Callithrix jacchus: one gene and its partner. The protein of the gene in region 2 purifies or fractionates together with the protein of the main gene of each other region. This does not show direct contact. Links are inferred from orthologs where the notes say so. Each region holds a gene or a part of one and is shown on either strand. Other genes may lie near its edges.

What was found. The genes of interacting proteins can lie anywhere in the genome.
Region 1: the proteins of SNX24 (region 2) and CSNK1A1 purify together in Homo sapiens (affinity purification with mass spectrometry; 4 studies listed by BioGRID and IntAct, counting the BioPlex papers as one, with this or other methods). This does not show direct contact. The link is inferred for Callithrix jacchus from reciprocal best matches to the Homo sapiens genes SNX24 and CSNK1A1.

What each region holds. Positions count from the first base shown.
Region 1 is NC_133503.1:48,201,020-48,204,519, reverse strand, and holds part of CSNK1A1 (casein kinase I), read left to right. Parts: intron 1-2,018; coding exon 2,019-2,158; intron 2,159-3,500.
Region 2 is NC_133503.1:86,505,844-86,510,141, reverse strand, and holds the start of SNX24 (sorting nexin-24), read left to right. Parts: upstream 1-1,498; 5' UTR 1,499-1,518; coding exon 1,519-1,578; exon of another isoform or gene 1,579-1,686; intron 1,687-1,767; exon of another isoform or gene 1,768-1,994; intron 1,995-4,298. UniProt on the Homo sapiens protein: May be involved in several stages of intracellular trafficking.

The DNA.
Region 1 (3,500 bases), about 38 Mb from region 2:
GTCTACATATTCCTCAGAGATATTTTTAAAATACCATGAAGCTGAATGTCCTTTTGTGTTTATTTTCCCCATGTTTTGTTTTCACTATGAATCTGCAGAACTTAATCATCATTTTTGTTTTGCTTAATAAATGTATTTTGCTCATTTTAATATTTGTGTATTGAGCTGGTTTTCATATCAAGAGAAACTTTTAAAGTATGAACTTTATTTCTTAGTGTTTTACAACACTAATTTTCCTATAATTATTTGATTGCTTAGGAAGGGAGTTTAATCTTATTACTTGGAGAGTTTTCATCATCTAGTAACATTTACTAATAATTTAGTCTTCATTCTTTTATAGTGAACTAAGTAAAAATAAGTATCTCGTCGACATGGTGACTGAAGCTCAAATGTCAGTGTCTTATTGTTCAGAGTATAATTGAGAATAGGTTATAATGCTTGGCTGAAATAGATGTTACTCATGCTCCTAAGAGAGGTACTTGGTCAGATCTTTATAACCTAAATCAGTAACTTGCTTTATTTATTTATTTATTTATTGACATGAAATCTGCAGGTTAGGTGATTGTGTTTCCCTGCACATCACAAATTATAAACTGGCAAAAGGGACCCAATAGCCTAATGGAGAGAAGAACTACAAAATGCAGGAATAACTAGAGAACAATAGACTAGGTCTATATAGTTTAAGGGAACATAGACCTGCCCAGCTTAATAATAATTGTAGATTAACTATTATTAAAATATAGCATAATAGGTGATTTTATGACCAAGGCCAAAATCTTAAGGAAAGATTATTTCTCTTCATATGATAGGTAAAATGAATATGTTTTGGAGGGTTTTTTTTCCCTCTCATAAAAATAGTTATTTACTTATAAAAGGCTTAAATTCTAGAGTGTAAAGTTGAATTATATAGAACAATTAGCTACATTATAAATGAATACCCTTTATTCAGGTTTCTCTGCTGCAAAAAAGAAAAAAAAACCAAATGAATAACTTATTCCTCGAGTACCATATAGACAAGATAACACTAAACGTTATTTTGTTTTAAACACTAGTTTTGTTTTTAGTTAGCTCACTTAAACTACTAATTGTAAGCCACCCTGATTTAAATGTTAAGTGCTTTTTGGGGGGATTTTTATATCAGCTTGTTAAATTTTCCAGAAGTTTAGCCTAACACGTGTATTGTGTCAGTGCTAAGTAGTATTTTTTATTAATAAAAAGGCTTTGTTTCGCTGCCAGTATTAGACTTTTAGGGTAGATAACAAGCATTCTGTTGGCCTTTGTAGGAGGGAGGAGTTGAGATAGCATATATCTGTTTTTTTTGTTTTATTTTGTTTTGAGATGGAGTTTTTGCTCTGTCTCCCAGGCTGGAGTGCAATGGTGCAGTCTTGGCTTACTGTAACCTCTGCTTCCTGGGTTCAAGCAATTCTCCTACCTCAGCCTCCTGAGTAATTAGGACTACAGGTGCCTGCCACCACCCCTGGCTATTTCTGTAATTTTAGTAGAGATGGGATTTTGCCATGTTGGCCAGGATGGTCTTGAACTCCTGACCTCAAGTGATCCTCCCGCCTCAGCCTTCCAAAGTGCTGGGATTATAGGCATGAGCTATCGCTCTTGGCCCTTATATCTAGATTTTGAAACCTGATGTTTGTTTACCGATAGTAACAGACTATCAGGTGTCATTATGACAAGTAGCACACTTGTCACTTCTGCTGTCAGTCTTGTATACATTTCTCTACTTACTTTATAAAGACAGGCTCCTGTGTATGTAATGAAATGGGCCTGTGAGATTTGCAAACGACGAGAATAAACTACTAGACTTTTTAAAAATTTGATTTAATGATGAAGACTAGTAAAAGCTTATGGGAGGTGTTAAGTCTGTTCATTATCTGTTCTAGTAATACTTGGGATACTTTATTTTGATATATTTGAATGCATAGTATAGATTCCATTTAATGAATAAGAAGCAGTTTAATTGAACAAGGTTGGAAACCTAATGTTTCTGTATTTCTCTTTTAAAGTTATTCCTTATTGATTTTGGTTTGGCCAAAAAGTACAGAGACAACAGGACAAGGCAACACATACCATACAGAGAAGATAAAAACCTCACTGGCACTGCCCGATATGCTAGCATCAATGCACATCTTGGTATTGAGCAAAGGTAAGTTAGAAAATGGAATGTGCTTATCATAGCCATAGCAGAAGCCGTCAAGGGGTTCTTGAAATATTTTAATTAGTTCCTTACAATGTCTAAGAATGTTTCTTGGCTGAGGATTTGAAGGATGCTTATTAATCATTTTACCTGCTGCTTTAGCCAGCGTTGAGAAGCCAGTTAAATGAGGTATTTTAGTTTTTTGTTGTTGTTGTTGCAGGTTGTTTCTTGAGGGGAAAATACTGCTTGATTGAAAGTTAGAAGCCTAAGTGCAATGTTGAAATTTCTTTTTGCAGCTGAAAATATGTTATTAGTGTCCTAACAAACCAAAAGGGGGTTAATGTTAATCTCCTGTTATACTTCACTCAAATATGTCAATTAATAGGATCTAGTTTAAAGTAAGAAAATTTCAGTCTCTGCTCTCTTTCTGTTTCTTCATATGAGTTCTAGAGTTTCAAGTTCATCTTTTCTACTCACTTTTCATTCATTAAAACAAACATAGAAGTAATTGGAAAAAACAATGGTATGCGTCCAGGTTTAAGAACCTCATACAAATGATTTCAAGCTTAAGATACCCATGAATATCTGAATATCCTAGGTTAAACTGTAATGTCATTTGTCCTATATGCCAAAGAATTACCTATCCTTAAACCTATCTATCTGTATATTTGTATGTATAGATATGTATGTGTGAATACATTGATATAGATGTTCAGATATTCCATTAGTTTTAAGTTGTAAACTCCTTTTCAGCACTTTTTTTTTTTTTTTTTTGAGATGGAGTTTTGCTCTTGTTGCCCAGGGTTGAGGGGTATGGCGAGACCTTGGCTCACCACAGCCTCCACCTCCCAGGTTCAAGCGATTCTCCTGCCTCAGTCTCCCGAGTAGCTGGGATTACAGACATTTGCTACCATGCCCGGCTAGTTTCATATTTTTTTTTAGTAGAGATGGGGTTTCTCCATGTTGGTCAGGCTGGTTTTGAATTTCTGACCTCTGGTGATCTACCCGCCTCAGCCTCCCAAAGTGCTGGGATTACAGGCGTGAGCCACTGAGCCCAGCCTCCTAAGTTATCTTGATGAGTTTCTGCAAAATTTAGAAATGTTGCCCTGCTTGATTCATTAAGCTCATTTCTCTAGAGAATTGTTTAGCTAAATCCTTTTTGTTCTTTTAAAATTAAATTGTTATCTTTAAGGTTTTTTTTGTGTGTGTGAAGAGTGAAAAAAAGAAATAAATAAAATTAAATTGTAAGACAGTTGTTTGTCTGATTTTGGATTCCATGAGAAAAGTTTTGTTTAGAGGTAACACATGAACTTTTAAAAATCACCTTAAATAGTAGCTTCTTGCATAAGAC
Region 2 (4,298 bases):
CCAACAAATCACATCCATATTTCTTTTCTTTGTTTTTCTTTTTGAGATGGAGTCTTGCTCTGTCGCCCAGGCTGGAGTGCAGTGGTGCGATCTCGGCTCACTGCAACCTCCGCCTCCCGGGATCAAGCGATTCTTCTGCCTCAGCCTCCCGAGTAGCTGATATTATGCACCTGGCTAATTTTTGTATTTTTAGTAGAGATGGGGTTTCATCTTTGTTGGTCAGGCTGGTCTCGAACTCCTGACCTTGTAATCTGCCCACCAGGGCCTCCCAAAATGCTGGGATTACAGGCATGAGGCACCGCGCTCGGCCTTTTTTTCCTGTTTCTTTTTTTCAGACGGAGTCTTGCTCTTGTCGCCCAGGCTGGAGTGCAATGGTGCAATCTCAGCTCACTGCAACCTCTGCCTCCCGCATTCGAGTGATTCTCGTGTCTCACCCTCCTGAGTAGCTGGGATTACAGGCACGCACCAGCATGCCCGGGGTAATTTTTGTATTTTTAGTAGAGACGGGGTTTCACCATGTTAAGGCTGATCTCGAACTCCTGATGTGCTGGCCTATGCCTCCAAAGTGGTGGGATTACAGGCGTGAGCCACCGCGCCCGTCTAAGTCCACGTTTCTATTCTCCGTGCTTTAACCTAAAGAAGAAACTCAGTGTTTACTTGAGTAACTTGATAATCAAGCTTCCTCCGCTGGGACACTTCATATTTTAGGGACCTTCAGGCTACTAGGTCCTGGTCCGAGGTGCGGGGTTCAGTCCCTCCTTTTCTTTCTTTCTTTTTTTTTTGTCTTCTGTTTTTCCCTTATAGTTAAAAAAGCACTTCACAGTTAGAGGGCAGCATTTTAGAATTGGAGCGTGAAGTCAGAGCGTTTGTCTCTTAGTGACCTGCCAACTTTTAGGTTCACTTCGAACTCGGTGGGACAACAACATTCCCAGATTCGACGGCTAACTCAAAAGGAGACGGTGACCGACGAGTCGAAAGGAAATCGGAGAGTCTTGGTAAAAGCTGGATGGTTCACCCGTTAATACCAGCCGAGAGACAAAAACAAATTTCAACCAAACAAAACAAAAGTTAAAAGCGCCACGCTTTCTATTCTTTGCTGTCTGGCAATCTGTTAATGGTGGTGTCTAGCAAACTGCAAATCAAGCGCCCGCCGAAATCCGCTGGGTAGTGGGCACCGGGTGCGGCCCAGTCCCTGCGCCTAGCGCGGTGGCGCACACAATTGGTTTCTGCAGGCTCAGATTTTTCTGGCCCCGCCTCCTTCGGGCCCAGCTGATCTCCACCGCCCATTAGGCCCGAAACCCAGGCGCCAGGAGCCCTGCGCCCTCTGCTCCCTGCCCTGGCACGCCCTGGGCGCGGCGAGCGACCGCGTCAGCGCGCGGACTTGAATCCCGACCCGCAGCCTCCGGGCCCCGCGGGCGCTTGGGAGCGGGAGGCGGGGCGGCCCGGCGGTGGGCGGAGCGGCGGTCGCGGCCGTGAGCCCGCCCCCCACTCACCCTCCGCCGGCTGGCCGGCAAGGCCATGGAAGTCTACATCCCGTCCTTTCGCTACGAGGAGAGTGACCTGGAGCGGGGATACACGGTAGGCGCGAGCCGCGGCCGGACAGGGCCCCGCGAGGCGGGCCTGCGGCTGCTGCGCCCAAGAAACACCCGCGGCCGCCGCCGCCGCCTTGGCGCAGGGGGTCCCCTCGCTCCTCTCTCCCCTCCCCCGGCCCAGAGGAAGGACTCCGCCTTGGCGCGGTTGTCAAGGAAACGGGCGCCCCTCCCTGGCGCGGCGGCTGCGGACGCCCGCAGCCCCTCGGGGTCCAACCCTTCTCCTCCCGGCTGAGCTCCCGGCCTCGGGGCAGGAACGCGGGGAGTCCAGTCCTCGGACGCAGCGCTCGCCATTCTCCTGGCCACCTGCCTTCGGGCGTCCAGCATGGGCTGCGTTTCTTTCTGGCACAGCTGCCCTCAGTCCAGACAGTAGTAGCTTCGCGGCAGGTTCACACTGGCTTCCAGGTTCTGTACAGTTCGTTCAACTGGAAAACCTGTTTTTTTTTTTTTAATCATTTGTAGCTGTTTATTAACCAAACTGAACACACGTATTGATTTGAGATGGTTTCCAAAGATTTTTCTTTTTGAGTTGTGCAGTTCCATGAAATGGCAAAATCACTTGCTGGTCACCTGTTTCATACCCAGGACGTAGTCACCGACTGTGGTCACCGAGATATGTGAACCAGGACCGGTGGTCTCAAGAGGGAAGGGGAGAGTAGAGACTAAGGCATGGGTCCTTTGAGTAACAAGTTTACTAAGTGAATTGTTGGTGGAGATTTCCCAGTGAATTCAAAGCATTCTTTCCTGGACAGTCATTGCTAGTGGCAGAAATGTCTGAGAGGGCCTGCACCTTGGAGGAATTTATTTTCAGTTGTTAAAGAGCCGGGAGGGTTGGAGGAAGATTGCAGGACAGTCTGAAGGGATTGTTATTTTATTTACACCAGTCACTCGCTCGCTAAACACCCGTTAGGTTAGTTTGACGGAGAGTGTTTTTACTTCCCTCCTCTAAACATTACTGATATTTGGTGACAGTCTGTTTGGGCCCTTGTGTTTTCATAGTTGGGACTAAATTACCCTCTCAAAGGAAGATTTAGAATGAAAAACAGTGATTGAAAAACTAGTCCAGGAAGTGGGTGGGTTTTTAGAATCGTGTAGACTGCTGGGTCAAGTGTTCTGAAGCAAGTTGTTAAAAGTGCTTTCTTTGGGAAGGAAACTGCACGGAGAGGGAGCTGTGCTCCACAGTGGCAGTTGTTTATATAAATTATCCTTTCCAATGCATTCACATTTCGTTAGTCTGTATCTTCCTTAAAAAAAAAAAAAAAACTCGAGTTTGTTCAAGGCTGTTTTTTTTTCTTGGAGATTTTAAACAAGTCTCTTGAGCCTAAAACCTTGCTTGTTGTTTGGTCTCCCAGGTACCTCGCTTCTCCCATCAGCACTGTCAGTGGTCATAGAGGGCTTACCATCTATGGGACATTCTTTTAGGATCTGAAGATCAAAAGGCACCTTGTTAGGGGCGTTGGCTTTCAAAGAAAAGATGAAGTTGATCTCACTGGTTCAAGCTAAAAGTTAATTACCTGCAGAAATAAGCACTTTGAAATAGACCATAATTAAGACTCGTTGTCCATTATTGATTTTCGTCTATTAGACAGCTGTGTTTTTCTCCCAAAGCTTTATGTATCTTTTTATTATTTGTATTTATGACCAGGCATGTGCCACACTCCAGGTTGTGAATTAAACTGATTTGAAGGAGCTCTTTTTTCGGACAAATTCGGTAGAGTTTGAAGATTACTTACGTGATGAGATTTCACTCTTTAAATATTTGCTTAAAAAAATCCTAACTCATCCAGATTGGGAGCTAAACTGTTAAAATCTCTGTTATCTTTTTTGAGACAGTCTTTTGCACCTAGGCAAGTGTGCAGTGGGGTGATCTCAGCTCACCTCAATCTTTGCCTCCTTGGCTCAAGTAATCCTTCCACCTCTGCCTCCGGAGTAGCTGGGACTCCAGGCACACACCACCACTCCTGGCTAATTTTTAAATTTTTTATAGAGACAGGGTTTCTCCATGTTGCCCAGGCTAGTCTAGAACTCCTGTGCTCAAGCAATCTACCAGCCTATATCTCCCAAAGTGCTGGGATTACAGGCGTGAACTACCACGTCCAGCTCTAAAATACCTTCTGAAGTGATTTTTTTTTTGGCCTCTGTGAATTTGTGAACCAGATGTTAGGTGCTTTTCCCCTCTGAAAAACTGGCTTTATAATTGTACAGTAGTTTTTTCATTCAACAAATATTTACTGAGTGCCTGCTCTGTGTCTGTATTAGGGGTATAAGGAATATAGCAGTGAACAAGCTATGAATATTAGCAGCTAAAAAAAAAAAAAAACCCGGAATTTAAAAAATATCTTTGTTTCCTAAATAAGAAGCTGGTAAAATAATGTACACTTTAGTGCAAAAAATAGCGTTTTACTTTAGCGATTATGTTTGTATGTGTGTGTTTTTATTTTTATATTTTTGAGATGGAGTCACCCTGTGTCACCCATGCTGGAATGCAATGGAACTGTCTTGGCTCACTGCAACCTCCGCCTCCTGGGTTCAAGCAGTTTTCCTGCCTCCCAGGTAGCTGGCATTACAGGTGCCCACCACACTCGGCTAATATATGTGTGTTTTTAAGAAATAGAGTCTTGCTCTGTCACACAGGCTGGAGTGTAATGGTACAATCCTAGCCTTGGATTCCTGGGCTCAAGTGATCCTCCCCCTTGGTCTCCTGAGTAG